Diceros bicornis minor: one gene and its partners. The protein of the gene in region 3 interacts with the protein of the main gene of each other region in a biochemical or structural test. Links are inferred from orthologs where the notes say so. Each region holds a gene or a part of one and is shown on either strand. Other genes may lie near its edges. The genes, in order: PLEKHO1, PDLIM7, SMURF1 and AXIN1.

Region 1 (7,783 bases), on a different chromosome or scaffold from region 3:
TTCTTTGGTGGAGGCAGTTGTGGGAGACCCTGCCTTTATGAGGGGAAGTAACAAAAAAAGACTGGTGCAAATTCTAGTGGAGGGGGTCAGGAATTTTCTTGCATTAACATGTGAATTACAAACATTATGCCATGCATTTTTAAAGAAAATTTTTGAATCTGTTAGCTCCGGAGCTTTTGGGAAGTGGACAAAATAAAACCTAGAGTCCTCTATCAGTTTCACCTTTAACCCAGGCCATTGTAGCAAGGAAACCGGCTCCAAAGAAGAGTAATATCAATAGGCTTGTTCCCTCTTTTCCTATGCCTTCCTCAGCAGGGGGCTGTTGGCCCCATGACCAGTCAGATGCTCCTGAGTCACAGGACACCAGACATCCTAGGCTGAGGTCATTTCATCCTTTCCCCTGTCTCTGTACCCCTTCCTCAACAAACAAGGATCAACCACGCTCTTTCGCCCCCAGACTCTGTTCTTTGGACAAATACAAACAAGAAAAAAATGTCTTGTTCCTTCTACCTCTTCCCTGTTCCCATGTCTCCCCTTTGACGTGTGGGAAGTTCTCCCTGATTGCTCACTAGAGTTTCCTGCCATTATGTAGTTCGGGAAGACAGGAGATACCCTTTGGCACTTGCTTCTTTTTTTTTTTTTTTAAATGGAAAGCCAGCAAATTGTGGAAAAACCTTTTGTAGGATTTGGGATTGGGTAGAGGTGACCCTTAAAAATAAATCCTCCTGTCAAAGCCTTCTCTCACCTCACTCCATCACCAAGTGCCCAGCTTAGTGTAAACAGCAGGTGTAAACACCCTGACGAGGATCTCTTTGGCCCTGGCTAGTTCTACCCTAGTTGCCTTAGTAGATGTTCTGTTCAGATGAATACTTTCTCAAGGCCTGCGTGTGTGTCTGTTTCAATACCATAAAAGGATTTATTTACCTAAATATAGTCTGCTGCAGAAAGCAGAAGAGGTTAGAACTCAGGGAGGACTTCCCAGTTAGCCCCAGGGGGAGGGAATGCAGATTCAGGGGGAGGAAGGGCATGCGACCAGGGGAACACAGGACAGTCTCCTAGGCTATGCTGACACAGTTGTAGAGGTAGGGATGGGATGACTTCTAACCCCTGGAGGGGCAATTTCAGTTTCTCAATATTACTACATGTTATTGATCCCAAGAATTAGAGAGAAAAGGGAGAAGAGTCTAGATTCAATGATCTGGCCTCAGGTTCTGACCCAGTGTGGACTGAGGTTTTCATTTTAACTACAGAGCCAAAGACATGGAAACATACACGGGTTCATAACTTCACTTTTCTCCCTTCTGATAGGAATGAGGGGTGGTGGGCAGGAAGAGGGTGGAGAATGAGTTCCTTGCTTCTTTTTTTAGTGGAGTGGGGGTGGGGAACAGAGAGCATAGTGGTTAGGGACATTGGCTTCAACAGAAATAACTGTGTGCCTCTCATACTCTACCTGAGATCATATGAGACTGCCCCTGGGTTGGGTGTGTGTTTTCTGTGATTCAGGGCAGCCGAGCTGCCTGACGACCCGTATGCCCCTGCTAGAGACAGGAAAGGGGAGGCCAGCGGGTCGGAGTGGGGGGACAGGAAGGGGTGGAGAATAAGCTGAACAGAGTGTCTCAGCAGCAATAGCAAAGAAAAAAATCCTACGTTCAGCTAGAGACCAGGATAGGGTAGGGGTCAGCCGGGGACACTTAGAACTTTCGGGATATCTCGGGAGGGGGTTATCATCGTTGTCAGAAAGGTATTTGCAAAGAGAAACCATTAAATAAGATGTACAGCCAACTTCTAACTCTGGTCCTCTCCCTAAAGGATGACCTCTCTCTGCAGATATGGGGGTAGAGATCAACCTGAACTTGCTTTCGGAACAAAATGGGGAGTGAGGCGAGGGGGAGATGAGAGGTCGATAAGCCCCCTGTGGAGAGACGAAGTGGGGAATAAGAGAAAACAGGGATAGTTAGAGGCAAAGGGCACCTACCTCCTTCTCAGAGATGTAGAGCTGGTCCCCTTTCAGCACCACATAGCGGTTTTTCCAAATCTCCCTGAAAATCCCTTTCCCGCAGAATTTCCGGACCCAGCCGACCTTCTCAGGCGGTGCAGACTGATGATTTCCATCCTGAGGCCCCTGCCCCCGGGGCGAGAGAAGAACCGTGCGGTTAGGCGAGCACAGCTCTTTCCTTCTCTCCTGCTGTCCCCCGACCTCCTCGGTCCCCGCTCCCGCTGTCCTGTGACCGCCCGCCGCAGGCTGGAGTCGGGGAGCTCAGCGGCGATCCCCCACTTCTGGAAGGTTTCCACTCCGCCGAACTCTCTCCCCGTCGCTCCCCTCCCCCTTCTCCCAAATAAACAACCGAGCCGCGAGAGGCAGGGGTTCGGGCCCGGCCTGGCGGGGAGGTGGCCTTCGGCTTTTCCCCAGCCCCCACCCCCTCCCCCAGCCTCCGCTCGCGGCGCCGGATTAGCGGCGTTTTATTTTATTTCTCATTGTCTGCTCGCCCCTGCAGAGCGCGACGCGATCGGCCGCCGGCCGCCCGGGGAGGGGACGCTGGGGGTCGGGCAGAAACTAAGCCAAGTTAAAGCCCCCCACCCGAGTCCACAAACAAAAGCCCCCGCCGGCGCCTCCCCGCGGGGCCGGGCGCGCCGAGGGCGAGGCCGGGGGCCGCGGCCGGGCGGGCAGGGCGGGGGCTCGCGCAGGACGCCCGCTCCCCGCCCCGCGCCCGCAGCCCCGACGGGGCCGGGGTCCTCGGAGCACGAAGTCGGCTGCGCGCGCGGGGCGGCGGCTCACTCACCCTCTTGGCGGAATTGTTCTTCTTCATCATGCCGGGTGGGCGCGGGCGCGGGGAAGCGGCCGAGGGGCGGCCCCGCGGCGGGGGCTCCTTCCGAGGGGAGGGTGGCGGAGATGCCCCCGGCGCCGCCGCCGCCGCTCCTCCCTCCCGCTCCGGACTCTCCCCTTCTTTGTAGCTCCGGTTACACTAAAGGCCGGCCTCCCTCGCACTCGCACTCGCACATACACGCACGCCCGCTCCCCGCCCCCCGGCGCCCTCCATCCCGGCGCCCACGCGGCCGGGCCCCGAGCGCGCCCCCGCCGCCCGCCCGCCCGCCCGCTCGCTCCCCCGGCCCGGCGCTGTGGGCGGCCCGGCCCGGCCCCGCACTTCCATCCACCGGCCCGCTGACGTTGCGAGTTCGGAATAAAGGGCGAATCGCGGCGCCGGAGATGGTGCGCTCCCCCCTCCTTTGTTTCTGACTCACTGAGGGTAAAGAAGACAGACCTAAACCCAGCCGGGAAAGGCTCCTGGAGGGGCAGAGAGACCCAGACTCAGACAGACGGTCGAGCGAGAGGTGGAGCCAGAAAAGACAGACCCGCCGGACCTGCCGAGAGACACAGCAGAGGCAGCTGGAGTGGATGATAGAGAGACATAGATTTATGAAGACCAGAGATAAGCTAGAGCGAGATCATCTCTCGACATCCTCTCCCTCCCAAACCCAAAACAAAAACAAGAGCGTGAGCTGGGAGGGCGCGTTACTAAGAACCGGCGTCTGGAATGCCCTCTCCCTAGGAGGTAGACAGAGTGGCCTGAGCAGGACAAATGTTGGGGAAAAGTTTTATGCTTCCGAGGGTATCAATGTGCAGGGGGACGCGGTGGGAGAGAAGTTAATGTTAATATGCATTTCTTGCAGTTTACAAAGCCGCAGGCCTTATTTGAGCCTCAGGAGAATAACCCTCAGTGTGAGGTGGACATTATGATCTCCACTGCAGAGAGAGAAAGAAAAGTGAGACTCAGAATGGCTGAGGGATTTACAGACACACACAGTTAAGTTCCAGCAGGAATAGAATTCTGTCTCCGAAGCCGTGATCCGTTATACCAAGTGGCTTTAAATACAAGCTGCAGGTGAGACTTAAGCTTCCTGCCACCTGGGTGTCTCTCCCTGCTGCACTGACATGTAAAAATCCCATCTTGTCTACTGCACTCAAATCCAGTGGAGGGAAGGGCTCAATGCCCAGAGGAGGACCTGAGTGGCGGAACCTCTGCTCATCCCTCTTACACCAGATCTGCCTCAGAGCCTACAGACCAACATCTCAGTAACTTCATTTTCAATACATATTTAATGGGAAGAAGGGAGTCAGGAAACCTAGGTTTGGGTATTGGTTTCATCACTACTCCGTGGCCTTTGGTTGAGTCACTGAATTTCTTTAGGCCTCAGTTCCTCCACATATGAAATGGTGAGGGATGAACTGCCCATTCCATCAACAAGGAAAGTTAGGAAAATATATGAGATGACCTGTGAAAGTCCTCTGAAAATATAAATATTGCCCTCCAGGGCTAATTCTTAAATAAAAATAAGCTAACAAACACATTGCCTGGCGTATGGTAGGCACGCAATAACCACAAAATGAATAAAAATCCCTGGCACAGAGGAGCAGGAAGAAGGAAGAACTCTTTTTCTGGAGATGTCTCAAGATAAAAGAAATCGTTGGCCAAATTTGCGGTTTGAGGAGTGGCATGATCTTGGCTTTTTCTGGTATCTGTCAAATGAAGGAGGAGGATTCTCTCTTTTCCCAGTCCCTTCTTTCTCCCTAATCCAATAATATTCTTCTTAACCTCTTTTCATTTACCATACTAATTCCTCTATTTTAGGATGATATAGAAATTTATCCTTTCAAAATGCTCTTATGTATCATTTCTTTAAATCTTTAGTGCCACCTTGTGAAATATATAGAATAAATATTATTATTCTCACTTGGAAAATGAGGAAACAGGGCATGGGAAATCAATTGACTTACCCAAGTTTACACAGCAAGTTACTGGCTAAATGGATTAGAATCCAGGTTTTCTGACACCAGTCTATTATTTAGGCTTCACACACACACACACACACACACACACACACACACACACACACACTCTCTTTCTCTCTCTCTCTCTCTCTCCCCTCTTTCCTTCCCACCATCCTTTCCTTTTCCCATCATCTATTTCCCACCTTCTCTGTTTAAAAAGTGATTTAAAAAGAATGAGAAAATCCAGGGTATCTTCATAAGTGGGGAAGCAAAATGTCCCACTGTCCTGGTGAGGAAACTAGCCTGCATGATCTTTTGAGGGCTTGCTGACCAGACAGATAGGAGTGGTTTGGATTTATAGTTTAAATAGATTCCGTTTTACGGGAAAAAAAGTAATTCATGACTTGCCCCATCTTCCTCCTTTTGGTCAGCAAATAGTTGAGTGCCTCCTAGATGCAAGGTCCTGGGTCCCTGTGTGCTGCGTCAGGCAGGACAGGAGCCTTGTGGAACATCAGGCAGAGGGACTGCTAAAAAACCAAAACCCTCCAAAGTAATTTTCAGATTCCAGAACAGATGCATGTGGGCTGGAGAACCTTCCCTGCCTATTTGCTCCTTAGGATGTTACATAAATCTCTGGTTTTCTCTCTCTCATTAACCTGCGCTGCTGCACTGCCTCATCTTATCATCCTATAACATGGACAGAAGCCCGAGGGCTTCACAGTGTTGTGTGTAAGGTAAAGAAACAATGGCTGAGAGCTGAGAGGAATGGGGAAAAGGGAAATGGAGAGGGTGACCTTTAGCTTTTCTCTCACTTTGTCCTGTTACTCATCCCTCTTTCCCTATGCCATACTCTTCCTCTGGCCTGTTCTTCCAGCTGACTTCTTTCTCGCCAGGTGAACTTCATGGCACCTGAATTGGGATCTATGAATTGGGACTGTTTCCAAAGACCAATTTTTAAGTTAGAAATGTCAAGAGTTCCTTTACACATTTTCATAGCACGGGCTCCTCATTGAGTTTGACACTACCACTCAAGCCAATTTCTCTCTTAGGTGGAGATATACTAGGAGGATTTGTGATGGGGTTACCTCCCTAACTGCATCACCATGGATAAGACAACTGCCGGTAGCTTTATTCTTCAATTGACTGTTTTAAAGATTTTATTTATTTATTCCCCCCCCCCCCCAAAGCCCCAGTAGATAGTTGTATGTCATAGCTGCACATCCTTCTAGTTGCTGTATGTGGGATGCGGCCATGCTGAGAGGCCGGAGAAGCGGTGTGAAGGTGCGCCCAGGATCCGAACCCGGGCCACCAGCAGCAGAGCGCTCGCACTTAACCGCTAAGCCACGGGGCCAGCCCATCAACTGACTGTTTTATAAGTAACTCCACCTAAGGGAGGAAGAAGGGAGCTATAAGAGATAAGGACTTGTGAATTGCTGCCTGCAAGTTTACTGAGCAGAACCTGTTATCCAAACAGCTGTTTAGCTAAAAACAAGTACCTTGGCTTTTGTGGACTAAATGGGACATAGAGGGCACTTCAGTCCATTGAAGAGAGGTCATTAAAAACAAATGAGACCTTAATTAAAATGATGTTTCTAAAGGGAAAAAATAAAGGACCAGTAATAATGTAATCAGCTCTGTAAATCTTAAATAAAAATATGAACCTTTGATCCTTAACAAAGAAATGCCAATTTCTGGCATCAAACATCCTGAGGGTAAGGCTCATTTCTTAGACTTCTTGATATTGTTAGTGACTAGGCACATGGGCAGCAGGCAAATAATGAGGAGAATGATATAAGAAAAGTCTCCGTTCTTATTCTTATTCTGAAGACGTCTTGCGCAGAGGAAGGGAAGCACAGGCAATCCTGCTTGGAGGAGGGAGGTTTCTGTTTATTTGAAAAGACTATGTAACTTGTAAAAAGCTGTATTTAAAATATTGTCTCCCTAAGTGAAGGCTGTGTCACTTTTTTATTATTATAAAAATATTAAGAATTAAAAAATAGTATCCAAAGGGACCCTCAAAAACAAAAACAAAAACAAAAAAAGAAGGCAAAAAAGAAAAGAAAAGAATTTAGATCTTAGCTCTTAGCTTTACTATGGACTTTTGCCCTTAGGGCTTCATGTGAGTGTGTGTGAGGTAAGGAACAATGGCTGAAAGCTGAGAGGAATGGGGAAAAGGGAGATGGAGAGAATGACCTTCAGCTTTTCCCTCAATTTCTTGAATTGCTTATTAGTGCAGAGGGAGGGTTGACAGGAATCCAATCATTTTGCATAGTGATTTTTGCATTCCCTACTTGGAGACAGGAATCAATCTTATTTACTATTATTAGTCCAATTTCATTGAGTGTTTGTGATGTCCTAAGTGCTTATTTGTATTATCTCATTTTATCCTTACAATCCTATTAGGAAGGTATGTTATTACTCTTGTTTTATAGATGAAGAAACTGAGCCACAAAGAGACTAAATAACGTTCCCAAAGCCACACAACTGTGACATAGATTTCAGCCTAGGCTATCTGATGCTAGAGAATGTTTATCAACATAAAAGAAAGGTTAAAAAAAAGTGTAAAGACTTACCGAGAGCCAGGGAGGGATTGTGCTGTGGTGTTTTTGCTATGATTTGAGGACGCCATAATTTCCTGGCATCAATGACATCATCACTTTCCACTGCTTTCAAGAGAAGTGAAACTGACACCAGAATTTATTATTTGCCTTGAATTTATTATTTTCCTTGACATACTTTAAATGTCTTTCAGGTAGAGGCAATGCCTTCTCTATGTTTGGTATAAAGCCAGCTCATGCCTTGTCTCATGAATTCCCATAGTTATTAACCCCAAAGAAGCAAAAACAAATCACTTGTATCTTTTCATAAAATGGATTTTTATTGTAGCCATACATGGTTTCTCAGTGCCACAGAAAATTGCAATGTAGGGACACTCAATATTTGGATGGCTCTCTGCATAAACATGACGAGTTTTCAGAAATGAGTTGTGTAGGAATGTGGTTAATGAAAAGTAAA
Region 2 (7,586 bases), on a different chromosome or scaffold from region 3:
ATGGGAGAGTGCTCAGAGAGGTAGAGAAAGAAGCAGGAGAGAACTCGGGGGTAGGGGGCAGAAGGGTGGCTGGAGAGAGAAGCAGGGAGGCCCTAAGTACGAAGGAGGTGAAGAGCCAGGGGGCTGGACATTGCATGGGGTGGGGGTGAGTCAGCCTGAGGGCTCCACCGAGCAGCCCAACCCCCAAGTCCCAGACGTTACCTCATCTCCCAGGCCTGGGCCCACAGCCAGTCCTGGGAGCCCCTCCCTCCTCTCTCCATGCCGGGGTCAGGGGAGACAGAGGGGGCTGGCCCAGCTCAGAAAAGACCACCCCATCAGCCCACCCACCAGGGCCTAGGTCCAACTCCAGGGCTGGGCTCAGCTCACCACCCCACCCACACACTGGGGCTGCTGACAAGCAAGGCGTGGCCCAGAGTGCCCCCAACAGGCCACAGCTGAAAGTCCATCCCCCAAGCTCACTATGTTGCCCATCCCCACCAATGAAGAAACAGTCTCAGAGGCCAGCCAAGGCCTGCGACTCCCCAGCCACACTGGCCAGCACTTTCCAGGGAGGGGGATTCAGGATAGGTTTTCTGGGCTGGCAAGGCATCAGGACCGTAAGGGCTGGGTGTGTGTGTTGTAGGGAGACCTGCTGGCAGGGTAGTTTCCAGGGGAACCCCATGGAAAGGTCCCTGGGAAGATCAGTGACCGCCTGCCTGCCCTGGCCACCAAGCCCAACTCCCGCAGACTCCGCCTTGGGGCCCCTCTCAGGCTGGGCAGTGCCTGGACAACCTTCTGGCCCCCTCCAGGCTGTGCCTGCCCTGGGCTTCCTGCCAACAGCCGCCTGCCCACCAGGCACCCGGGTGGGCCTCTCTGCACAGGCAGATGTGGGGACAGGAAGTCCCCACCCCACACTGACTCCTAGGCCACAGTCAGAGACACCAGCCCTCACCCTCTCTGGGCAGGCAGTTTGTTGTCTATGTCCCACAACTGACCCTACAGCTGGAGCTATGGCCTGGTGGTCACCAGCTGAGGGGCCCACCAATGCAGTTCAGGGGTCCCGGCCTAGACCAGCCTTTTTCGGCTCTGCAGACTCCAGCCAGCAGATGGCCATCCCAGCATGGGGCTGCATTCTTGGGCTTATAAGGCAATCCCCCTGCCACAGGGAGGAGCCAGCCCTTAGCTCCACCCAGGAGCCCCCCCCAACCAGGGCAGGATCTTAGGAGTCACAGCCCTAGAGACCTGTCCCACACCCCTGCTTGGGGTCAAAGGCCACTGTATCCTGAATGGGACCAGTGGGGGATGCAGGTCCTCGCACAGGCTGGAAAGAGACCCTCCTCACTCTCCTAACCACGAAAACTGCAGGCCATCCCAGTGCCTGAATCCCAATCCCTGCTTTGTCATGGAATTGCTGGAGGAGCGCCTCCACCTCTCTCAGTCCTGAGCTCCCTCATCTGGAAAAACAGGATGACAACTGCTATTCCCTGGGTGGCAGTGAGGGTGAAGTGAGATCCTGCAGTCTGAGTGTCCTGCCTGGGGGCTGGCTCCAAGCATTGCTCCCTCAAGGGCCTAGACACTTCCTGGAGATCTCAGGCTCCCCTCCTGCAGAATGGACATCCCTCAGGCCTCAGAGGTGGCCCCAGGAGCTTCATGGAATGGCATCAGGTATAGTGCAGTGCTGGGGAAGTATGAGGACTTCTTTCCCAGTATCCACCTAGTTAGGAGTCCTTGTGGCAGGTGACCACCACATCTCTGGACCTGGACACCTCCTGGACTCTTGGCCCTGGCTCCCTCCTGCTCAGACTCCTCCCATCACCCACTGGAAACCTGAGCACCCAAAGACTCCTGGGGGAGCCCCTCCCCCAACCTAGGCTCACCCGGGAGATGGACAGGGGCACATTGAAGTCCTTGCCCCCCTGCAACCGGAAGCCCCAAGGTGCTGGGCCATCCAGCACCACCTTGAAGGAATCCATGGTGTCCGTTCCTGAGAGGAGAGAGAAGGTGAGTGGCCAGCATAGTGAGTGTGCAGGCAGGCCCAGCTCTGGACACCAGCCTTGGACTGGTGCCACGCAGGCACAAGCAGACGCTTAGCACACCCAGGGCATCTGCAGGCGGGCACCTTGTCAGGTCTGGCTGGGCTGCTGGCTGGCAGGCCTCACTTTGGAAAGACAGGGGCAACCCTCCTCCCCCAGGGACTGGGAGGGTGAGGGGAGCCCGCATCCAGTCTTGAGGTTCTTTTCATCCAGGAGTGGGCCGCAGGGCTAATTTGGCACGGCCTCCCCCTAAGCCAGCCTTGAGCCTCGGATGGCGGTGGGGTGAGTCAGGGGCCGGCACTCCTCTCCCCCGCCCCCAGGTCCCGGCAGGCAGGCCGCAGCTGGAGCCTGCTAGGACTATATAAGGCGTGTAAGCTGACACTGTGCGGAGAGTCAGCGGAGGGAGCACACGGGGGCTCGGGACGCGAGGGGGAGGGGTGGGGAGGGAGGCGGCTGGAGCGAGTCCTAGCCATTCCAGGACCGGTCGAGGCTGCTGGGAACCAGGGCGGGACCCCTGGGCGCTGAGGGGGACCGGGCAGGGGTGCAGGCTCTGCGGAAATCGGTGGGGGCTGGACCCCAAAGCGTGGCCAGGAGGGGGATTCATCCTGGAGCCCAGTGGGGGTGATGCCACTCCGACGTGACTCAGTTTCCCCCTGGTCCCCCGCCCGGGCCCCATGCATTGGCCGAGTCCCGAGCGCAGGAAGCGGCGCAGGCGCCAATCGGTCCCGCCGCTGCCGGCTTCGTCGCAGGAAGGCGGGGGCGGGGGCCCGGGCCCGAGGGAGGAAGCGCAGCGCTGGCCACGACCCCTAAAGCCCTCTGCGGTCCCCAGCAGGCCTCTGCCCCCCGCCTGGCCCAGCCCGAGACGCCCCGCGCTGTCGCCTGTACCTGCTCGGCCCCGCCGAGGCGCTGCTCCGCAGCGGTCTCCCAAAGGCGGTGTCGGGCTCAGCCGCTCGTGTTCTGACCCCTCCCCCGTGGCTGCCGTCCGCTTTGAGCCCGCTGAAGGGGGCGGTGCCCCAGGCCACGCCCCCATCGAGGACACGCCCGCGAGCGGCCGGTCCGTCAGTGGGAAGCCCCACCCAATCCTCCCTCCCCGCCCAATCACGAAATCCCGTCTCGCTTTGAGCTGGAAGGCACGGCCCGCCCCGGGCCCCTTGGTGGCGCGGGGCTGGCGCGGGGCTGGGGCGGGGCCTGGGCTGCGGGATGCCGCGTCTGGGAGCCCAGCCAGCCGCTCGGCCAACGCCTTGCGCCTCCCGCTGGCCGAGTGAAAAGAAGGCAGCCTTCGAAATCAAACAGATCTGGGCATTAGTTGTCTCTGAACATTAGTTTCCTCCCCGGAAAAATGGGACAATAATACTGGCCTTGCAGGGCCGCCGTGAGGATAGGCATTCTTTGGCGTAAGGCGCAGGCATCCGCGGCTCCAGAATTTCTAAATCGAAGAAACTTGGTGGGAGGAGACACATCGAGGTGGGATTAGTTGAGGTGGGAACAGGTTTGCAGAACACTCTACTGACGGCAGAAAATAAGGGCAGGAGCGGACGGAGGTGGAGGGGGCCCTGGGCTCGGCCTGAACTGTGGGCCCTGGCCTCCCTCCCACCCCGTGACCCCAGGCAGTCAGCATCCCGCTGCCTTGCGACCCCGTCTCAGCGACCCCACACTGTCGAGATGGGCTGTGTTCTGGTACCCGACTCCAGAGGGGGTAGCGCCGCTAGTGGAGGCGCAACGGGAGACTCTAGCGAGGGTGTCCGAGTCCCCGCTTGGCCCCCAGTGCTCAGCCCCGGCGGCTAGCTCAGCCGGCGGGGGAAGTTGAGCAGGGACGGGAATGAATCGACGTCCACCTCTCAGCTGCTTCTAGGGCGTGGCCGCGGCTGCCCTCCCTGCTCCATCATCACGCTTCCCCTCTTCTGCATCATTCCCCTCACTACACAAACTGCTGAGAGAGTTCTCATCTTTAGAGACATCTCTCTTGACCCCACCTCCCTCTCCAGCTATTGCTCTTTTATTCTACTCCCCTCGAGAGTAAAATCCCTGGAAGGAGTTGTCTATCGCCCTGTCTCCGCTTGCTTTCCTCTCGTTCTTTCTTGAACTCACTCCAGTCAGGCTCTCATCCCCACCAGTCCTCTGAATTAATTCCCTTTTCTCAAGGTCTTTGATGCCTCCAGGTTATCGAATCAATGGCGGTTTCTCAGCTTTGTCTTACCGGTCCAGGGGCATTCCCTCTTCCGCTGGCTTCATGCCTCCTCCTGCCCCACTGGCTGCTCCTTCACCGCCTCAGTAAACAGCACCACCATTCATCCACCTGGTCCAGTAAAAACTATGAAGTTATCCTTCCTTTCTCTTCTCTGTCATACCCCAGATTCTGCAATTCCCACCCTCAGAATATGTTCCACATCTGGTCACTGCTGCCGTCATTGTCCCTGCCACTTATCTCGTGTCTGGACATCTTAACAGTCTCCTAATAGAGCTCCCTGCTTCCATGCTTGCCCACTCCAGAGTCTTCACCATGCAGCAGCCAAAATGATATTTTTAAAGCAGAAATCATACCACATCACCCTCAGCTTTTAGCATTCCGGTAGGCTCACATTGTACTTAAAACTAAAGTCCTCAAGATGTATATGCCACTAATAAACTGACTCTACCTCCCACCACTCTCCTCCTTGCTCACTGCACTCCAGCCACTCTGGCCTCCTCACTGTTCCTCCAACATGTCAAACATATTCCTGCCTCAGGGCCTTTGCACTTGTGGCTCCTTCTGCTTGAAGCACTTTCACCCAGATGTCTAAGCAACAGGCTCTCTCACTTTGTTCAGGTCTCTGCTCAGCTGTCGCCTCCTCCAAGGGATCTTCTCTGGCCACCTATCTAAAACAGGAGTCCCTTGACACCTTGCCAGCATCAAGTACTAGTCCCTTACCCTGCTTTATTTTTCCCCATAGCACTTACAACCATCTGATATTATATCAAGTGTTTGTTTCTTTATTGCCTTTTCCCCCTTTGGAAACTCACTCCCATGAGAGCAGGGACTTGTCTGTCTCGTCCACCAACATTTCCCCAGTGTCTGCACACAGCAGATGTGAATGAGCAGATGAAGGAAGAAAGTGACACAGCACGTGAGCAAAGGAAGAAGTGGCAGCTGGGGGTCCTGGCAGTCCTCCAGCAGAGAGGACCCTGTGACCGCATTCCTTGGCCTGTGCAAGGCTCAGGCCTGGATGGAGCCACAAGAGCTCCCTGTATAGGCAGCCCCTGGGTTGCCCCAGGCTAGGACACAGTGCCCCCCGGCGGCCAGGACAGCTACAGCTCCAGGGCCAGGCCCCTAGAGTCCTGGAGGTTTCCAAGGACTTTCTCTTTCCCAGTCTGATTGGAACCTCACAGAAATTGCATGAAACAAAGAGGCTTAGATTTGTAGTGAAGGGAAGCATGCCTGACCAGGGACCCAGAGTCCTGGGTTCTAGTTCTGGTCATGACCCTGACTCTCTGGGTAACCTCCAGTGTGTCCTCGGATTTGCTGAGCTGTGGGGCAGAGGGGTCCCTGCCGCAGGCACCCTGACTGGGAACCTTCTGGCCTCAGCTGGCTCTATGGCAGGCAGCCTGATGGATCATGGGAAGATTTTACCCATCAGGAGGAGCTTCCGTAAGTGGGTCTGAAATCTGCCTCCCCATCGCTCCAATGTCCTGAGCTTTGCCCTCTGTGGCCACAGACACTCTGGGGCAGCACTGCACAGAACCCCCCAGCGTCCCTTCAGACGTTACATTTGGAGATGCCTTTTAGACAGCCAGAAGTCTAGTGTGCAGTTGGATTCTTAAATCTGGAGCTCAAGGGAGAGGTCTGCACTGAAGATATACCTTTGGGAGCCATCAGCATTTCTTTTGTCTTTTCTTTTCTTTTCTTTTTTTGGTGAGGAAGACTGGCCCTGAGCTAACATCTGTGCCTGTCTTCCTCTATTTTGTATATGGGACGCTGCCACAGCGTGGCTTGATGAGCAGTGAGTCGTTCTGCTCCCGGGATTCCAACCTTCGACCCCTGGGCCACCAAAGCAGAGAGCACGAACTTAAACACTACGCCACTGGGCCGGCCCCTAGCCACCAGCATTTAAATGACCAGTGAGACCTGGAGACAGGACTGGCTCACTTAGGGCAGTAGTTCTCAGCCTTGGATGCACACTACAATCACTCAGGGAATCGGACAAACTGATGCCCGGGGCCTGCCAGGACTGATGAAATGTGAGCCTGTGGGTGTGCCCAGGTGCAGGCATTTTTTAAAGTCTCCTGGGTGATTCTGTGTGCAGCCAGCGTTAAGCTACACTGTGAGGCTGGAGCCCAGGGCAGGACTCTGGCAGAGGAGGAGACAGCAAAGGCTGGGAAGGAGGGGCTCAGGAGGGAGGAGGAAAACCAAGTGAAGACAGCGTATCAAGGAGGGGTGTCGAATGCTGCTGAGAAGTTGGGGAGTCCAGCTCACAAGGGGAGTCCAGGTTGCTTTTGTTTTGGGCAACAGGGAGGTTGGTGACTGTGATAAGAGCAATGCAATGAAGTGGGGGGACCAACAGGAGTCTGGAGTTGGTGGAAGGGAGAATGGGAGATGAGAAAGTGGAAATGAGAGTAATCAACAACTCTTTTGAGGAGTTTCACTGTGAAGAGGAACAGAGAAATGGGGAGGTGGCTGAAGGAGAATGTGAGGTCAAGGGAAAGTTTCTTTTAAAGATGTAAAATTACAGAGCATGTTTGTTTGTGGCTGGAAATGACGATGATGGAATTAATGGGTCGAGGAGATGGGCAGCTCAGTTTGCCAAGCTGTTAGGTGGTGAGAGGAGCTGGGATCAGACACATGTTGGGGAAAAGATACTTCTTCCATTGTAGGGCAGGAAGGAGGCAGTGCAGATGCAGGTGCACTTGTAGAGGAGGTGGTGGGAGGTTTGGGGGGGGTGGTGTTCACCTCTGTCGGCTGCTGTTTCTCCAGGATATCTGCAAGCTGAGACTGGGCAGGGATGGAGAGGAGAAGGTGTGGAGGTCTCGGAGAGGAGAAAAACAGCCATTCTGGGACACAGGATCTCTGGGCAGCGTAGAAGGCCTGCCGATTTGAGGTCTGAGATCACATTGCTAAAGACAACGCAATCAGCCTGGTGATGTGAATGTCCCCAGTGTGGGCCTCTGCCAGGCTGCAGGTATGGAGGGAGTTTGGTGTTCCCGTGGCTCGTGGCTTTGCCAGACAAATAAGCTGGAAGACGAGAGGAGCGTGAGGGGGTGACTCCATTGGCAGAACACAGAGTCTAAGGTGGACAAGGATGGAATTGTGGACAGCAGCGGCACAGACAGTCAGAAGAGGGTCACCGTAGGTGGACGCGGCTGGAGAGGAGCTGTGTGGGTCGTGCTAGAGGCAGTAGGCTGCAAGAAGAGAAGGATGTGGCCAGAGCGGGGGCACTTGGAAACAAGATTGTGAAGATGGAGCATCAATGTTATAAAGATGGGATTCAGGATGTGCCAAGGGTGTGGATAGCTGAGCCTGGGGTCAAGGGGCCAGGAAGCCAGGTCCTTGGGAGCATGATGCTTGTGTGCACGGAGGCCCCAGGGATGGTGACAGGAGTA
Region 3 (7,240 bases):
AATAAAAGTGAAGAAAGATGAAAACAGGGACAAGACTAGGGTGTCCACTCTCATCACTCTTATTCAACTAAGTACTGGAGGTTCTGGCCAGAGCAATTAGGCAAGAAAAAGGAATAAAAGGAATCCAAATAGGCAACGAAGAAGTGAAACTCTCGCTGTTTGTAGACGACATGATCTTATATATAGAAAACCCTAAAGAATCCATTGGAAAAATATTAGAAATAATCAACAACTACAGCCAAGTGGCAGGGTACAAAATCAACTTACAGAAATCAGTTGCATTTCTATATACCAACGACGAACTAACAGAAAGAGAACTCAAGAAGACAATCCCATTTACAATTGCAACAAGAAGAATAAAATATTTTAAAAAATAAATAAAATAAAAATTTGTCAATTTCACCTAAGTTATCAATTTGTTGGCATACAGTTGTTTACAGCATTCCCTGATAATCCTCTTTATTTCAGTATAGTTGGTAGTAATAGTTCCTCTTCAGCATAATCTTTACACCCTTCCTTTCCAATGGCAATATATGTGTACATATATATTCACATATACACACACACTCTTCAGTCTATTTTGTGGATAGATCATAATTTATTACAGCTCCTGCTGGTGTTTTACTTCTTGTTCCTCTAATTACAAAATTAATACATTACTTATAAAAAATGAAAACTTGGAAATGTATAAACAGAAAATGCATGCCCCTGAAATTCATCATTACTCTTTGTTCAGCATTTTCCTGGATAGTCTCACATACTTACTTTTCCCATTGAACTATAGAATCATTTTGAGCCAGTTAAAAAAATTAACTCATAAATAAATTTAAGAGGAATTTACCTCTTTACAATATTGAGTATTCCCATTCTTGAATGTAGTTAATCATCCATTTATTAAGTTCTTTAATGCCTGTCTTTAAACATTAAGTGAGGTTTTAAAGTATTTCATTACAGTTTTCCACATTTCTAACTGGGTTTACTCTTAAGTGTTCTGGATTTTGTCACTATCATGAATCTCATGAGGGTTCCTCTCGCTGCATTTTCTAAATGTTATTTGGATATAGGAAAGCCATCAATTTTCTTAAGTTAATTTAAAATCAGCCGTCTTTTTCAACTCTCTTCAAATGGGCCTGTGATGTTCTCTTTCCTTCACTTGCCTTTTCTTTCTCACAGCTTTGAATGTCTCAAATGCTCTCATATTAAATTCAAAGTGTCCAAAACTGAAGTTAAAATCTTCCCACTCCGCCTCAAACCCTGGTCCTCTCCGCAGATTCATTACTTCAGAGACCACCAGCAACACCCATCAACTGCACAAGCCAGAAATCTGTGTGTCATCCTTATACTTCTCAATCTCTCTCAAACCATCTCCACCCTTGTTCAAGCTCCCAACACTAGCTATCACCAAGTAATCTGTTCAAGATTTAAATCTCCTCATGTCTCTTTCCTTTTAAAAAATTCCACAGTCGCTTCCCATTGCACAACTCCAGACCTGTCATGCTCTGCCCCCAACCAACCTCACCTCCCCAGCCTCCAAGATTATCCGCCAGCTCTGGGCCCTGGTTTTTCTGAGGTGCTGGTGCTGGACTGCTTCTGACTGGAAGAATTCTGGTAACATCTCAGAAAGATTAATCTTTGTTCATATTTACAAGACTGGCAATGTTTTAATTTAAGGCTCACTCCAGCGGAATTTGGTTACATCACAAAGTGGAGAAGGTCTCAATAGTGTCAGCATAAAGAGAATTTTGCCTCAATTTTGTGCAAAGATCCTTTAGGATCATACTGAATCTACTTTAGTTAAAGGCATATTAATTTCTCCCACTAGAATAATTTTGTGATCTTGAGATAGAATTCTCTTTGTCTACTCTAGGAGATATAATGATAAAAGATAATTTATTACACAGCATAAAATCCCACTCTGTCTAGATATACCACTTATTTTTAAACAAGTATGTGATACACCAATTATGAGTGAGTTTCTGGGGATACCACAATGAACAAAAGAGACATTTACTTTTACAAAAAATGAAGCTTATTTTTTCGGTGTAGACCAGGCATGGCTGCTTCAACTCCAACTCTCAAGTGCTCTCTACTTTGGACAAATCATGTCTCTTACATCCTATAATTTCCTAATCACGTACCATAGTTTCCTCATGTTGGGGATAAAGTAAGAGTAAATTACATGATGTTCACTTAGCATCTGAAAATACACGGAAGGGAAGTGTTTTGCTAACTTGAGGTAAATTCAATTAGTAAGACAAGCTTCTTTACCAGGTCGCTGACAAAAGCATAGGGTCCCCAAAATACTATTTGTGGTTTCACCCACTCCCAGGATAAGCTACATCAACACAAATTTAGTACTTTATTATATCATCTTAAGAAATTTTCCATTTTTGGGGTTTTTTCCCCCGGTTTTAATGAGAAATAGTTGACATACAAGAAATTTTCTAATTTGTGTCAATACTTCACACTATTTTTCTATTCTCCAAGGCTAGAAACTTTGGCTGTAATTTTTATTCCTCCCTCCTCTTATATTTATATGTATCACCACATCCTACCTTCTCTTTCTTCCAACTGTCTCTTGAATTCGTCCTTCCCCTGCTTTTGTACTCACTCTCCTAGTCTCGGCTTCACCTACTCACAGCTTAATCTAAGAGCAGCGTGCCCTTCCTAACTCAAGCCTCTCCATTCACATTACACTTAGCCACCAGATTAGTCTTCTGAAATGCCATTTTCCTGTTCTGAGGCTCAAAAGACTCCAATGGCTCTGTCTTGTATTTACTGCAAATCTGTTTCTCCCTGAGTTTTAAAGTGTCCCATTCTCTAGTATCACCTTTATTTCCCACATTCTTCAAAGCGTAGTTGGGTTCATTCCCCGCTTCCATCCGCCCCAACCAGTGCTCCCGCTGGGCGGTCATTCCTGCTCCTCAATCCACCGGACAAGCCCTCTCTCTTCCTGTGCTCTATCTTCTCGAGCCAGGCGAGGCCCACTTTCTCAGTGAAGCCCCATTCAGGCCAGCGTCTCCCAAACGTCACTCTGTGATAACATTTTCACTAGTGCCAAAATGAAAACAGTGAGAACAATATAGTGGGTTTTCATAAAACTGAACTAATTAATTTTAAACACCTGTCCTTTGTCCCAGTGTTATGTCTATTTTTTTCATGTTGAAATATCCTATCTTTAACGAAATGAGGTAACAAAAAATGGTAATAGTTTCAACAGTGACTTGGCAAAATAAAAAGTTGGCAATTTTATGTGGATAGCCTTATTTACATAATGTTTTGACTGCTCCGGGAATCACTACTCTAACCAGCAGCAATCTGTTGCCGCTTTACTCCTGTTTACTGTCAGAGCCAGAGAGCTGAGTGCTCAATCACTTTTCATACGGGTGGCTTTGCCCCCAGCTAAGTTCCTCTGAAGTCCCACCTTCCACCCCTTTAGACACGGGCTTCATGTGGTGCTGGCCACACAACAGGCACGTAACGTGGATTATGATGAACAGAAAACAAAAAGCAAGCCAGAGAGTAACAGTGATAAAAATATAGAAAATTAAGGTATCTCACTAACTTAAAACATCTACGTAAAATTTTCATTTATTAGAAAATATAATTTACCACCTAGGATAGCCACCAGCACATAATATGCATTTAAAGTATATTATTAGTTGTCTATCTCATCTAACTTAAGTCTAAAACTCACTCTTTTTATCTCCTTGGGGAAAAATCCTTTAAGCTACAAAAAAGAGTAAAAACAGAATCCCTGCTCATGGCAAAGAGTAAGGTTTCCTGATCAGAGTGCTTCACTAGCATGTCATTTTCTAGGCCCTGTACCAGAGTCACTCATCCGTCACTTCTCATACAAATTTAGGAAATCCTCAAATTTTCATTAAGAGGAAAAAACAATCACATTTGAGTTACATCAGCAGACTTTAAATGCCAAAATCTTCAAATCCATACAGAATTGAACTCTGTTCCATTACCTGCTTAATGAAATAAACAACTTTTCCCAATCCTTCTCAATAAGTTTATACACATAACACACTAACACATTTCCACTATTCAGACACCATTAGATGATAAAATGATTTCTTCTTTGCAGGTAAAATTGTCTAAGTTAACAAAACACGTTTTAGCAATCACCAGCCGTCCCTATTGGCTCTGGAGGTGCGGGTGACTCTGGTAAACTGACAGGCTTGAGACAGGTTTTCCAAACACCTCCTTGCTTAAAATATGAGTGTTACAGCTTCATCTTCTATCAATGTATTAAATTAGAAAATAAAGGACAGAACTGTGTGAATTATTTGACCTCAGAAGTGTGACAGGGTTCAGCTCATAGCCCCAAACCTTGAAGCACCCGCGAGGCAGGGCTGCTGTGGCAGAAACTCTCCTCCCCCCATGAGGCAGAGCTCAGCTCTGAGATGAGGGGACATGCTTGCTCCTCTGCCTGTCCCCTTCGGTCCCCACCAGCAGCAAACACTAACACCATTCATGTGACTTTAGAGTCTCAGAAGCTCTTTTATATACATCATTCTCTACCTATTCTTACAGGATGAGGCAAGTGGACATACAGGGCAGGTGTCACTTTTTTCCACTTTATTGGTGAAATTATTCAGATCCAGAAAGATTCAGCAGCCATCCCCACTTCTACCCCCATCCCACATTACACTATCATAGCAGCATCACAGCTGTTATCAGAGTTTGAAATTAAATCCTCTATTTATTGATATGCTGCTTCATGTCTGCCTGTCCCATACAAAAACGTCCACTGGAACAGGACTGTGTCTTTGGTATTCACCACTGTATCCAGAGCTTGGTATGGTGTCTGGCACACAGAGGTTACTTTAAAATGTTTGCTGAATAAATAAATTTTATTTTTTTCCTGTCTAACTACTCACTAGAACATAAGCACCAAGACGGCAGGGACTATTCTTCTGAACCATTACATTCCTAGCACGGAACACAGGGCCTGGCATAAATTCAATGCTCAAGAAATATTTGTTGAAATAAATGAATAAGTGCTTGAATGAATGAATGAGATAGTTTTACTAGAACCTCCACTGTGGTGTGACTGACTGCCACCCCATACTCCACCAGGAGTCAGCGCCTGGCAGCTTTGCATACACCGCCACCCGACAGATCTTCTTCAGAACGAATGTATGCTATTTCTTAAGGTATCATGAGTGACATTTGGTGGCACTAGGGAAAAAAAGGTTCCCCTGCATCGAAACAGAGGTAATACAATGCAGGAGAAAAAAAAGTACATGCCAAAAAACAAGTAATAAAGTCCAGAGGGCATTTGGAACTTTTTTTTGAACAAAGCCCTCATTAATGAACACAGTCATTTTTACACCTTAAGGGATGATTTCCAAGGACTGATCAGGCCATTACACTCCAAGAAAGTCTATAACTGAGGGACATATTTAATTTTTAACTTTTAATCCTAAAATGTTGCTTTTCTTGACACCGTGGATTTGCCCCACAGAATCTACATTAGGAAGACTTCTTCCTGGGTGAAGAAAGAAGACAGGCCTCCCAGGAAGCAATTTCCAAAGCTACTGTTGGCTTTTGTTTGATTACTTCCCAAGTATTACAGGCCAGACCCCTTGGCTTGGGAGATAAGCAAAGTATCTCATTTAAAGTCTCTGTCTTTTAGAATAATTTCCATCTCCAGATCTCCAGTCTCCAGTTTCTGTCTTAAATAAACCAAATGGAATGTCTTCCAATCATGTTAGAGTGAAACAAAGGCATGAAGAATCAGGGTGATTTTACAGGTGGACACATATTTCTTTGCCTTACAACATAGGAAAATTCAAGTTTTCATTAGAGAAAGTTTTATCTAAATTTTTTAAGTTATATTCCAAAAGTAATCAGTTCCTAGATCAGTTAATTATCAACGTTGTCTCCTTAAACACGTTTATTTTTCCTTTCTAATGTCCTCATACAAAGGCCATACGCAATGGTAATGTTTATTACCTCCAACTCTACCTCAGCCTGGATGTCTACTATCTCATTTGCTGAAAAGTGAGCACATGGTGATTGTACACCAGGAACTAAGGAGCAGTGTGCAACTTGAACTTCCGAAACCACCCTGGAAGCAGACTATCTCCCAGGCAACCATCCGACCAATACATCTGCTGGACCAATACATCTGCCAAAAACATTGGATGAAGCCTATCAATGGAATCACAGTGAACAGTTTGGAAGGTTTGGAAACTTTGCCATTGTTTTGTGAAACTTTAAAAATGCAATCTAATTTCCTTGAGTATAACTAATAACAGCAGCTCAAATTTATTGAATGCTTACAAGATCATTAGGCACTATACTGCATCTGACATCATGATTGCATTTATTCAACACCACAACTCCATGAGACAGATACTGTTATTATATTCATTTTCCTGATGAGAAAACTGAGGCTTTAAATTAAAAGGTCATATAACTTGACAAACCAAGGTCAGTTAGTAAAAGCTGCTGCTTCTGAGTGGTGAATCCATTCATCCATTTAACAAACATCTGCTGATCACCCACCACAGGCAAAGCCCTGTTCTAAACTCGGAGGATTCCATGAAGAACAACAACAAAAATGGTGCTTGTCCTCAGGGTACTTCCCATGCCTGAGGGTTTGACTTCTAAGGAAAGTAAACTATGAGCATCCTTTTTTTTTTTTAACAACTGCTTAAAATTGACTTCTCGGCCGGCCCATGGCTTAAGTGCGGTTAAGTGCGTGCACTGCGCTACTGGCGGCTGCGGTTCGGATCCCGGGCGCCCACCAACGCACGGCTTCTCCGGCCATGCTGAGGCCGCATCCCACATACAGCAACTAGAAGGATGTGCAGCTATGACATACAACTATCTACTGGGGTTCTGCGGGGAAAAAAGGAGGAGGACTGGCAAGAGATGTTAGCTCAGAGCTGGTCTTCCTCAGCAAAAAGAGGAGGATTAGCATGGATCTTAGCTCAGGGCTGATCTTCCTCACAAAAAAAAAAAAAATTGACTTCTCAAGGTTGGACTATCTTCCTAAGGTTATACAGTATAAAATAAAACTCAACTTTGTCAGGAAAGAAATGAATTTCAACCCCAAAAGCCTGTCATTAAGTAAATTACATTTGATTGTCACCCTAGAAGGAACTTGAATGAACTCCATTCACAGGAGATAATCCAGGGTTAACAGGGAGGAGAACTCCACATAAATCCAAACGTCCTCACCCGCCTGACTCTTGAAGACCTGGTCATATAAATGAAG
Region 4 (7,930 bases), about 40 Mb from region 3:
ACTTCACACTCAGGGCTACTTCACACTGGTATACGTGTAATCCACCCCCTCACACCTGCCTTCTCATGCTGCACACACTTCACCTGCCGGCAGCTGCAGATGGCTAGAAGCGAGAAGCATCCAGAGACAGAGAATAGGTCACAATTATGTGCCCCAAATGACATTTCTGCAGCTAATGACTTTCTATGTAAACTACTGGGTAGGCTGTAATCTCAGCCTTGGCAGGAATGCCCTGTTTCTTAAGGTCAAGGCCCATGGGCTATGGCACCCTGCTGCTCCTGGACCACATCAACTGCAAAGTTGCTTTCTTTGAGCCCTATCAACTTGGAATGAGCACCTTCGGTGTCTCAGCTCCACACCAGCTTGTGGACGTCTAATGTCCTCTTGTCCGGGATGCCATCTTAGGAAAGAGGGCCAGCACCTGGCCCTTGAGCCTTACCCTTGGAGATGCCTTGTAGTTCACTAGCCTTGAGAAAGAACCAAGTCACTGTGTGCAAATGGGAGGCTAATTAGGAGTCACTGTCACTTTCTCTTAAGGTGCTTATGTCTTCTATGTAAATTATTTGTAGCAGGCTGATTTAAACATTTTCTGCAGAACCCACAGCACCTAGCACAAAGTCTTGCAACTAATGAGCACCAATAAATATTTAATTCATTGACATAAAGGAAAACAACACTTGTCATAGATGCCAAATGTTAACTCTTTACAGACGCTAAATTATTGTGCTATAGAACAAGCAGCAAATTCAAGACCCAGCCATTCATTACAAAACAGTGGATGTCTTAAAAAACTAACATTTTAATTCATGTGTGAACAAGTCCCTCTAATCATTTTAAACTATGTTTCATTGCCCAAAAGAAACATTCCTTGTAATTCACATCTATTTTTGGCTGTCAACTGACAGAGACATTTGGTGTCCCTGGGAGCACATGAACACCTCTCCAAATTACTGATGACACTGAAACGTGCTCCAGGTCCTGCAACCTCTGGGTTCCCACAGAGGAGCACACCAGCATTTAGTGTCCGCACGTGTGCATACCACACAGAAAGCAGTTATGTTAATTCAGGTTAGAGTCAAATGCCCACAAGCACTGAGTTTGGCCAACAGCCTGTAACCACCATCAATAAAGGGATTCCATAGAAGGAATCTACAACTCCAATACGGCATTTAAAATCTCATTTAGTCACTGCTGAGGCATACCCCCTGGGTACCAGGGCAGCCAGCTCGATGCTACAGATGTGTATGTATTTATTTATTTTAGTCAAATATAACTTTTGAACTTTTGATCTATATGGACTGTGGAAGTAACAGAGCAAGAATGACATTTTCCCAACTGTCTGCTAATTAAACTCTTGAAGGGTCAGGTCTACTGTTTTACACACAATGCATTCCCCCACCACCTCAATTCTCAATGACTAATGTAACCCAAAAAAGTCCACTTAGCTTTTCTGAAACTAGAAATCCAAGAAACACCAACACCTGCTGAAAATCAAACAGAAACACTGTATTTTGCATGCTCTCCCATCCTTGTCCCTGAATAGAAGTTCTTAAAACTGAAACCCAGATATTGCCGACTATCTTGGGAGGTCACGTTTAGACTGTGTGTGTTCTCCAAAACAGAGCCTGTGGGTCTAAGTATGCCCGAGATTCTTCCTAAAGAAGCAAAGAACATAAAATGCAAGCAAAGAGGAGAAGCCGAGATGCACAATAAGAACTCTTTACAAATTATCTTAGAGATGGGCTGAGAAAAATCCCCAGAGATCTGGTGTATTATTCTCTACTGTCCTCTGTGCCGAGCTACAAGTTTCACTGCCCTGGCTGTGCAGCTCTGGTTCCATGGGGGACTGAATTCCAAAACATGTAGTGGAGGCAGAATCTAAGATCCACACCCGAGAGAGAGTGCTGGAGGCAAGGCATCAATCTGAGAGAGGACAGCCACTGGACAGGCCACCCACAGCTGGACGCAGCCCAGGGCACAGATTCACTCACTCCTACTCTTTGCTGGGGGGAGAGGGAAGGGACGCTCCACTGCCCTGTCTTTCTCCAAGATCCCTGCACAGAATGTCTGGGCCCAGCAGCTACTCTGCACCCCACCCACACCACAAAACATACCCCAGGCAGGAGAACCACAACACACCTGGCACCACACAATCAAACGCAGCAGCTTCCCACCCCAGGTTCCTCCAGGAGCACCACCCACCCCTTCTCGGAAACCGGGGTCTTCCTCACACCCTTCCTCTCCCCCAAACCAAGAGTCTGCACTTCCTGAACCAAAGTCTGCTTCTTCCGTGTTCACACACGCCAGTGTCAACAGTTCTCGCATTCTCCATCCCCTGCTAGCATCCCCCCTCTGACACGCCTGCCTCCACAGCCTTGGACCTCACAGGCCCCACCCCAACCCCCCGCACAGCCTGGGCCCTCCCGCATGCCTCCTCTTGCACCCTCCCCTCACACACTCCAGGGCCCCCTCACAGCCTCCCCTCACACCCTCGGAGCCCACACAGCCTCCCCGCACACCCTCGGAGCCCGCATACCCTCCCCTCACACCCTCCCGGCCCGCACAGCCTCCCCTCACACCCTCGGAGCCCGCATACCCTCCCCGCACACACTCCCGGCCCGCACAGCATCCCCTCACACCCTCGGAGCCCGCATGCCCTCCCCGCACACACTCCCGGTCCGCACAGCCTCCCCTCACACCCTCGGAGCCCGCACAGCCTCCCCTCACACCCTTGGAGCCCGCATACCCTCCCCGCACACACTCCCGGCCCACATAGCCTCCCCTCGCCCTCCTGGCCCGCACCCGCCAAGCCCCTCTTCCGGGTCCCGCCCGCCCGGCCTACGCGGCCTACAATGCGGCCGCACAGGCCCGCGCCCTCGGGAATGCGCCCGGCCCGCACACTCACCCGCGCGCGGCGGCGGGGCCCCGGGCCCGGCTCCCGGAGCGGCGCGGCGCGGCGCGGCCCATGCGCTCAGTGGCGGTGCGGCGGGCGGGACCGGGCGGGGGCGCGGCCCGGGGCCGCCCCCATCGCGCGGCGGCCCGGAGGTGGGCGCGGGGCAGGCCGCGGGGCGCCGCCGAGGCCGGCCGCCGCTCTCCGTGGCCTGCTCCGCGGGGACGCGGCTCCGGCCCGACTCCAGCCGGTCCTGCGGCGGCGGCGGCAGCGGCCGCGATCGCTTCCCTGAGCGGGGAGCCGGAGCCCAGACGCAGAAGCCCAGGCCGGAGCGCCCCCGCCGGCGCCGCCCGGAAGTGCGGGGGCGGGGGCAGGGAGTGGGGCGGGGCCAGGAGCGTGGGGCGGGGGCGGGGCGTGGGGCGGGACTGAGTGTGGGGCGGAGCCGCAGCGTAAAGCTGGCGGAGAGCGTGGGGCGGGGCCGGGACCGCTAGAAGGAGCCACGGTGCACAAACAGGGCTAAGAACGTGTGGGAGGAGCCTCTAACATGGAGGCGGGGCCAGGTCTGTGGGCGGGGCCGAGAGTGGCAGACGGAGCCGGAGCGCAGGGAAGGGCGGAGCCTGGAAAGAGGAGGCAGGGCCTGAGCGCGGATGCGGGGCCAGAGCGCCCAGGCGGGCTTGGGGCGTGAGGCGAGGCAGAGCGAGGGGGCGCGGTCAGATGCACTGATGTGGGGTTGGGGCCTTGGGCGTGCCGCGTGGCCGGGACCCTGTCGAGGGGAGCCGGAACCGGCGGCGGGAAACTGGGCTCGTCCCCCTGGGCGGTGGCGTCCCGGAGGGCGGCGTCAGGGGACGCCCCCGCGAGGTTCCCTGAAGGACCCCGGCCACGGGATGCCCGGCCCGGTGCACACAGCGAGCGGACAGCCGGCCCCGCATCAGGGCACACGCCAGGTCGCAGCCCTTTTCTGCCGCCCACACCGGTGTCCACTGGCCCAGGGCTCCCGAGGTCGGCCCGCGCCCAGCCAGCCTCCCACCGGCTCGGGGCGAGCAGCTTGTGCCTGGGCGGACGGGGTGGCCAGAGGGAGTGGAGACCGCGGGGCTCCCTGCCCGCCGGCCCTGGACAGGAGGACCTTTGCAGGTGGCCCTGGACGGCCACCAACTACCGGCGCACTGAAGGAAGCAGATGTCCAGAAGTTGGGTGGTTGGAGGGCAGAGCCAGGCTGACCGGGAGCTGAGCCCCCGTGATGTCCAGCTCCTGTCTCCACCTTCACCATGCCTGCTGCCCCCTGGCTGGCCAGGACCCTGAGAAGGTGGGCCAGGGCTCTCCCCTCCCCAGGTCCTCAGGCAGTCTGGACTCAGACAGGGCCAAGGCACACAGTGGGCAAGAGGTGTCTGATAATGCTGGCTGTCACTTGGGCAGTAGCCCCAACTGCCAAAGAGCTGTGCTTGAGACTGGCTGAGACCCCACCTCGGCTGGGCCTGCCTGCCTCAATTTCTCCCTGGCACCATCCAGGGTCTGGACAAGGGCTCCCCTTCCCACCACTGCCTGCGGGTCCCATTCGCCCAGGCCAGCCTGAGAGCAATTGCTTCTGGGTGTCCCATTCCCTGCACCCACCATCCCTTCCCCCCAGCTGTCACCTTGGCAGCTCTTGCCTGACCTGCAAGCCTAGCTGGCAAACTCCATGTTGCCTGCCCACCACCAACTCAGATGTGAGCACCACGGACATATGTGAGCGCCAGGAATTGATTACTGCCCCAAGGAATCACTTCTAGGATGCCCCATGACCACCCAGGACCCTGTCCTCCACAGAGCCACGCCAGGCCTGGCACCTCGAGCAATGCCCCCAGCAGCCTCCAGGGGATGGCTGTACCCCCATTCTACAGAAGAGGAAGCTGCAGCTCAGGCCACAAAGAGACCTGCTCACCTCCCAGCCCAGGGCTCCCCAACACCTCATCCACCCCACACCTTCCCCAACAGCCCTCATCTGGCCTGATCTCTGGTGCCCATAGCCTTTCAGGGCCCTTCCCTGACATCTCCTCCACACCACCCTCCCTTGGGTGCCTCTGGTCACTTGCCCACCTTCATGTTTCTACTACCCTGCCCCCCCAAGTCCCCCACGTCACCTCTAATGCCACCGCACCTTCTCCTGGACACTGCTCACCCTTGCTGCCCACCCTCATCCTTCATAGCTCCCAGGCAAGGGCAGAAGTCCCCGCTCAGGGCACTCTGAGCCACCAGCCACCTCCCAGCAGCTGCCCCTGGTGGTGCCTTCCTGTGTGAGCGGGTACAGAGGCATCCCAGCCCCCAGCCACTGCCAGCCGGCCTCCTCCGGGACCGGCACAGCATCCGCTGCCCAGGGTTTTGTAGGAAAGTGGGGCAGTGAGGGATGGGGACCGGGAAGCATCCCCAGCCTGCCAAGGGCCCAGGCCACCTCCTAGGGCCATCACCACACCTCAGGGCAGGCTGGGCAGGGGCTGGGGCTGTGGGTGAGGACAGCACATCACAGGAGCTGCTCTGCTTAACCCACACTGGCCCCACTAGGGTCCTGGCGGCAGGCGTCACTCTCACCTGCATGCAGCTGGGATGGCCTCAGGCCTCGCAGTGCTGGCCACGGGAGACGCCCTTGCAGCTCCTCCCCCACCTTGTTCAGCCTCAGAGACTTCCAGGAGACAGAGTGGTGACCCTCATGGCACAGCATGGTCTCTGTGGGGTGTGGGAGTCCTGGACAGACAGCAGGACTTCCTGGACATTGGCCCTCAGGCTGCCTCCCCACTCCCAGATACGGGCCCTCCACGCTTGCCTTGGTTCTGCAGAGCCACTGCTGCGGCCAGGCCAGGCTCCCAGGGTTGTGTCCACGTCCATCCTCCTCCTGGCGCATGGCAGCAGGTGTCCCCAGGCCCTGGGACCAGAACAAGGCCCTCGGGCTTCTGGCTTCTCAGGGCCCCCGCCCTGCAGGGACAGGAAGGGAGTCAGAAAGCTTGGAGGATACGCAGCAGCCCTGCCACAGTGGGTTACGGCTGTGGGCGTGCAGGGGACATTGTCTGAGCAGGGTGGAGTGGGGGTGGGCCAGATAAGCGAGCTCAGTGAAGACTCTGAAGAGAGGGAGGGCGGCCCTGGGGGCCTGCAGTGGAGCAGGGGTGAGCTGGCAGGGGGACTGCATCAGGCACCTGGAGCTGAGACCAGTCACAGAGCCGTGGGAGCCTCCCTTCTGAACAGGCTAGTCCCGAGACGGAGCCACGTCCTTTCTTTACAGAAGCCCTTTAAAACCCAACTCCCCTTCTCTGGGAGTGGGAGTCTGCCACTAGAGGCTTCCATTTGATTAACTGGGGACAAAATTCATTCAGGCTTTCCCTGAACTAAACGAGAAACTTAAGAGCAGAAATGAGGGCCGGCCTGGTGGCTTAGCGGTTAAGAGCGCGCGCTCCGCTACTGGCGGCCTGGGTTCGGAAGCCCCAGCGTGCACGGACGCACCGCTTCTCCGGCCATGCTGAGGCGGCATCCCACATACAGCAACTAGAAGGATGTGCAACTATGACATGCAACTATCTACTGGGGCTTTGGGGAAGAAAAAAAAAAAAAAGGAGGAGGATTGGCAATAGATGTTAGCTCACAGCCGGTCTTCCTCAGCAAAAAGAGGAGGATTAGCACGGATGTTAGCTCAGGGCTGATCTCCCTCACAAAAAAAAAAAAAAAAAGCAGAAATGAAATTATTTTCTTCAACTTAGACAAAAAAGGAATACTTTGAAATAAACTGAGCTTGGAAGCCTCACACGTGTTCGTCCGCTTGGCTGAGAAAGCTTATGAAAAGTGACCCAAAGGAATCCCCCCGGCAGGCACCCAGGAGGCACGCCAAGGCGCGGCCTGATGCGCGGTGGGGAACACCAGCACCAGAGAAAGAGCTACAGAGATGGGACACTGTGCGGCAGATCCCCATGGTCTTCCTGGGTGCGCAGGACAGGGCTTCTAGAGGTGGGGGTGGGCGGGCAGGCTGGGGAGGGAGGCCTTGACTTATCCAGTTCTGACCAATGAGGAGTGGACTTCCCTGTGAGGCGCAGCCCCAGTCACACTGGCCAGCCACCTTCCTGGCCGTAAGCCCAGCCCCCTGGGCTCCATCTCTGGCCTGAGTGTCCTTTTTCCATCCGTTCTGAGCTCGGGGGAGGGCAAGGTGTTGTTTGTGCCACCATCCCAGGCCCAACAGAGGGTGCAGAGATGTTGCACCAAGATGGAGAGACATAACACCAAGGAGAAAAGCTAGGAGACAGTGCGTGCATGGTGCCCGCTTTTGTGAGCACAGGAAATGTGGGTATACAGTCAAGAAGACTGAAGAACCATCCTGGAGCATTAACACCCGTTGTTGCTAGACAGCAGGATTGGGGTGGGCTCCCTTCTCTTCTTTGTGCCTTCAGGAAGAAGTTCTACAACGATGTTGCTGTTATGATCACGTGGAGACCCTGAAGTTCTGCAGCAGCGCCATCTCTCCATCAACGCTCAGTATAAGTTAACCCATTGGAGCAGCTCGGGCAGAGGGTTGAGAACTGGGGGACGACAGAGCTGACCCATTGGGCAGTGCTGGGCAGGGTGGCAGGCCCTGTGCTGTGCCTGTGGCAGTCACCCAGAGTTGGCCCCAGGACCAGTGAAAAGGTGCCACCTCGAGCTTCCTGGGCCGGCCCAGCTTCCCGTGGACACTCTGGGCTGGAGCTCCCTGGGCCCCGAGTCTGCGTCTGGCAGGTCCCCCCGCCTCTTTCCTCCTGTGTTTGGCTCCTCTCGCCCTTCACACTGGGGCAGGTGTGTTGTCCAGGCTGGCATCTTGCATCCCTCTTGCTGTCTGGAATTCTCTCGCCAGCCCTTCAGCTGAAGCTGCCTCAGGCAGACGCCCTGGGAGTGATCTGGGGTCCCGCGGCCAAGCTGGGGAGGTACAGGGACGGGAGCAGGCCTTTGCCTCAAACAGGTCAGCTCCAGTGTCAGCCCAGTGTCCACCGCTGCATGCATGATACCCGGCGTGACTGTCACCTTCCACCTGGCTGCTGTATGTCTTCCTGTGCTGAT

The links.
Region 1: the proteins of SMURF1 (region 3) and PLEKHO1 form a complex in vitro, tested with the Homo sapiens proteins (4 studies listed by BioGRID and IntAct). The link is inferred for Diceros bicornis minor from reciprocal best matches to the Homo sapiens genes SMURF1 and PLEKHO1.
Region 2: the proteins of SMURF1 (region 3) and PDLIM7 are reported together in a solved structure, tested with the Homo sapiens proteins (2 studies listed by BioGRID, with this or other methods). The link is inferred for Diceros bicornis minor from reciprocal best matches to the Homo sapiens genes SMURF1 and PDLIM7.
Region 4: of the proteins of SMURF1 (region 3) and AXIN1, one has a biochemical effect on the other in vitro, tested with the Homo sapiens proteins (2 studies listed by BioGRID, with this or other methods). The link is inferred for Diceros bicornis minor from reciprocal best matches to the Homo sapiens genes SMURF1 and AXIN1.

The regions. Positions count from the first base shown.
Region 1 is NC_080743.1:54,644,342-54,652,124, reverse strand, and holds the start of PLEKHO1 (pleckstrin homology domain-containing family O member 1), read right to left. Parts: upstream 3,015-7,783; 5' UTR 2,811-3,014; coding exon 2,781-2,810; intron 2,598-2,780; exon of another isoform or gene 2,579-2,597; intron 2,123-2,578; coding exon 1,976-2,122; intron 1-1,975. UniProt on the Homo sapiens protein: Plays a role in the regulation of the actin cytoskeleton through its interactions with actin capping protein (CP).
Region 2 is NC_080740.1:90,709,112-90,716,697, forward strand, and holds the start of PDLIM7 (PDZ and LIM domain protein 7), read right to left. Parts: upstream 3,002-7,586; 5' UTR 2,898-3,001; intron 1,964-2,897; 5' UTR 1,953-1,963; coding exon 1,857-1,952; intron 1-1,856. UniProt on the Homo sapiens protein: May function as a scaffold on which the coordinated assembly of proteins can occur. May play a role as an adapter that, via its PDZ domain, localizes LIM-binding proteins to actin filaments of both skeletal muscle and nonmuscle tissues.
Region 3 is NC_080765.1:7,552,267-7,559,506, reverse strand, and holds the start of SMURF1 (E3 ubiquitin-protein ligase SMURF1), read right to left. Parts: upstream 3,011-7,240; 5' UTR 2,916-3,010; coding exon 2,831-2,915; intron 1-2,830. UniProt on the Homo sapiens protein: E3 ubiquitin-protein ligase that acts as a negative regulator of BMP signaling pathway. Mediates ubiquitination and degradation of SMAD1 and SMAD5, 2 receptor-regulated SMADs specific for the BMP pathway.
Region 4 is NC_080765.1:47,944,166-47,952,095, reverse strand, and holds the start of AXIN1 (axin-1), read right to left. Parts: upstream 3,016-7,930; 5' UTR 2,906-3,015; intron 1-2,905. UniProt on the Homo sapiens protein: Component of the beta-catenin destruction complex required for regulating CTNNB1 levels through phosphorylation and ubiquitination, and modulating Wnt-signaling.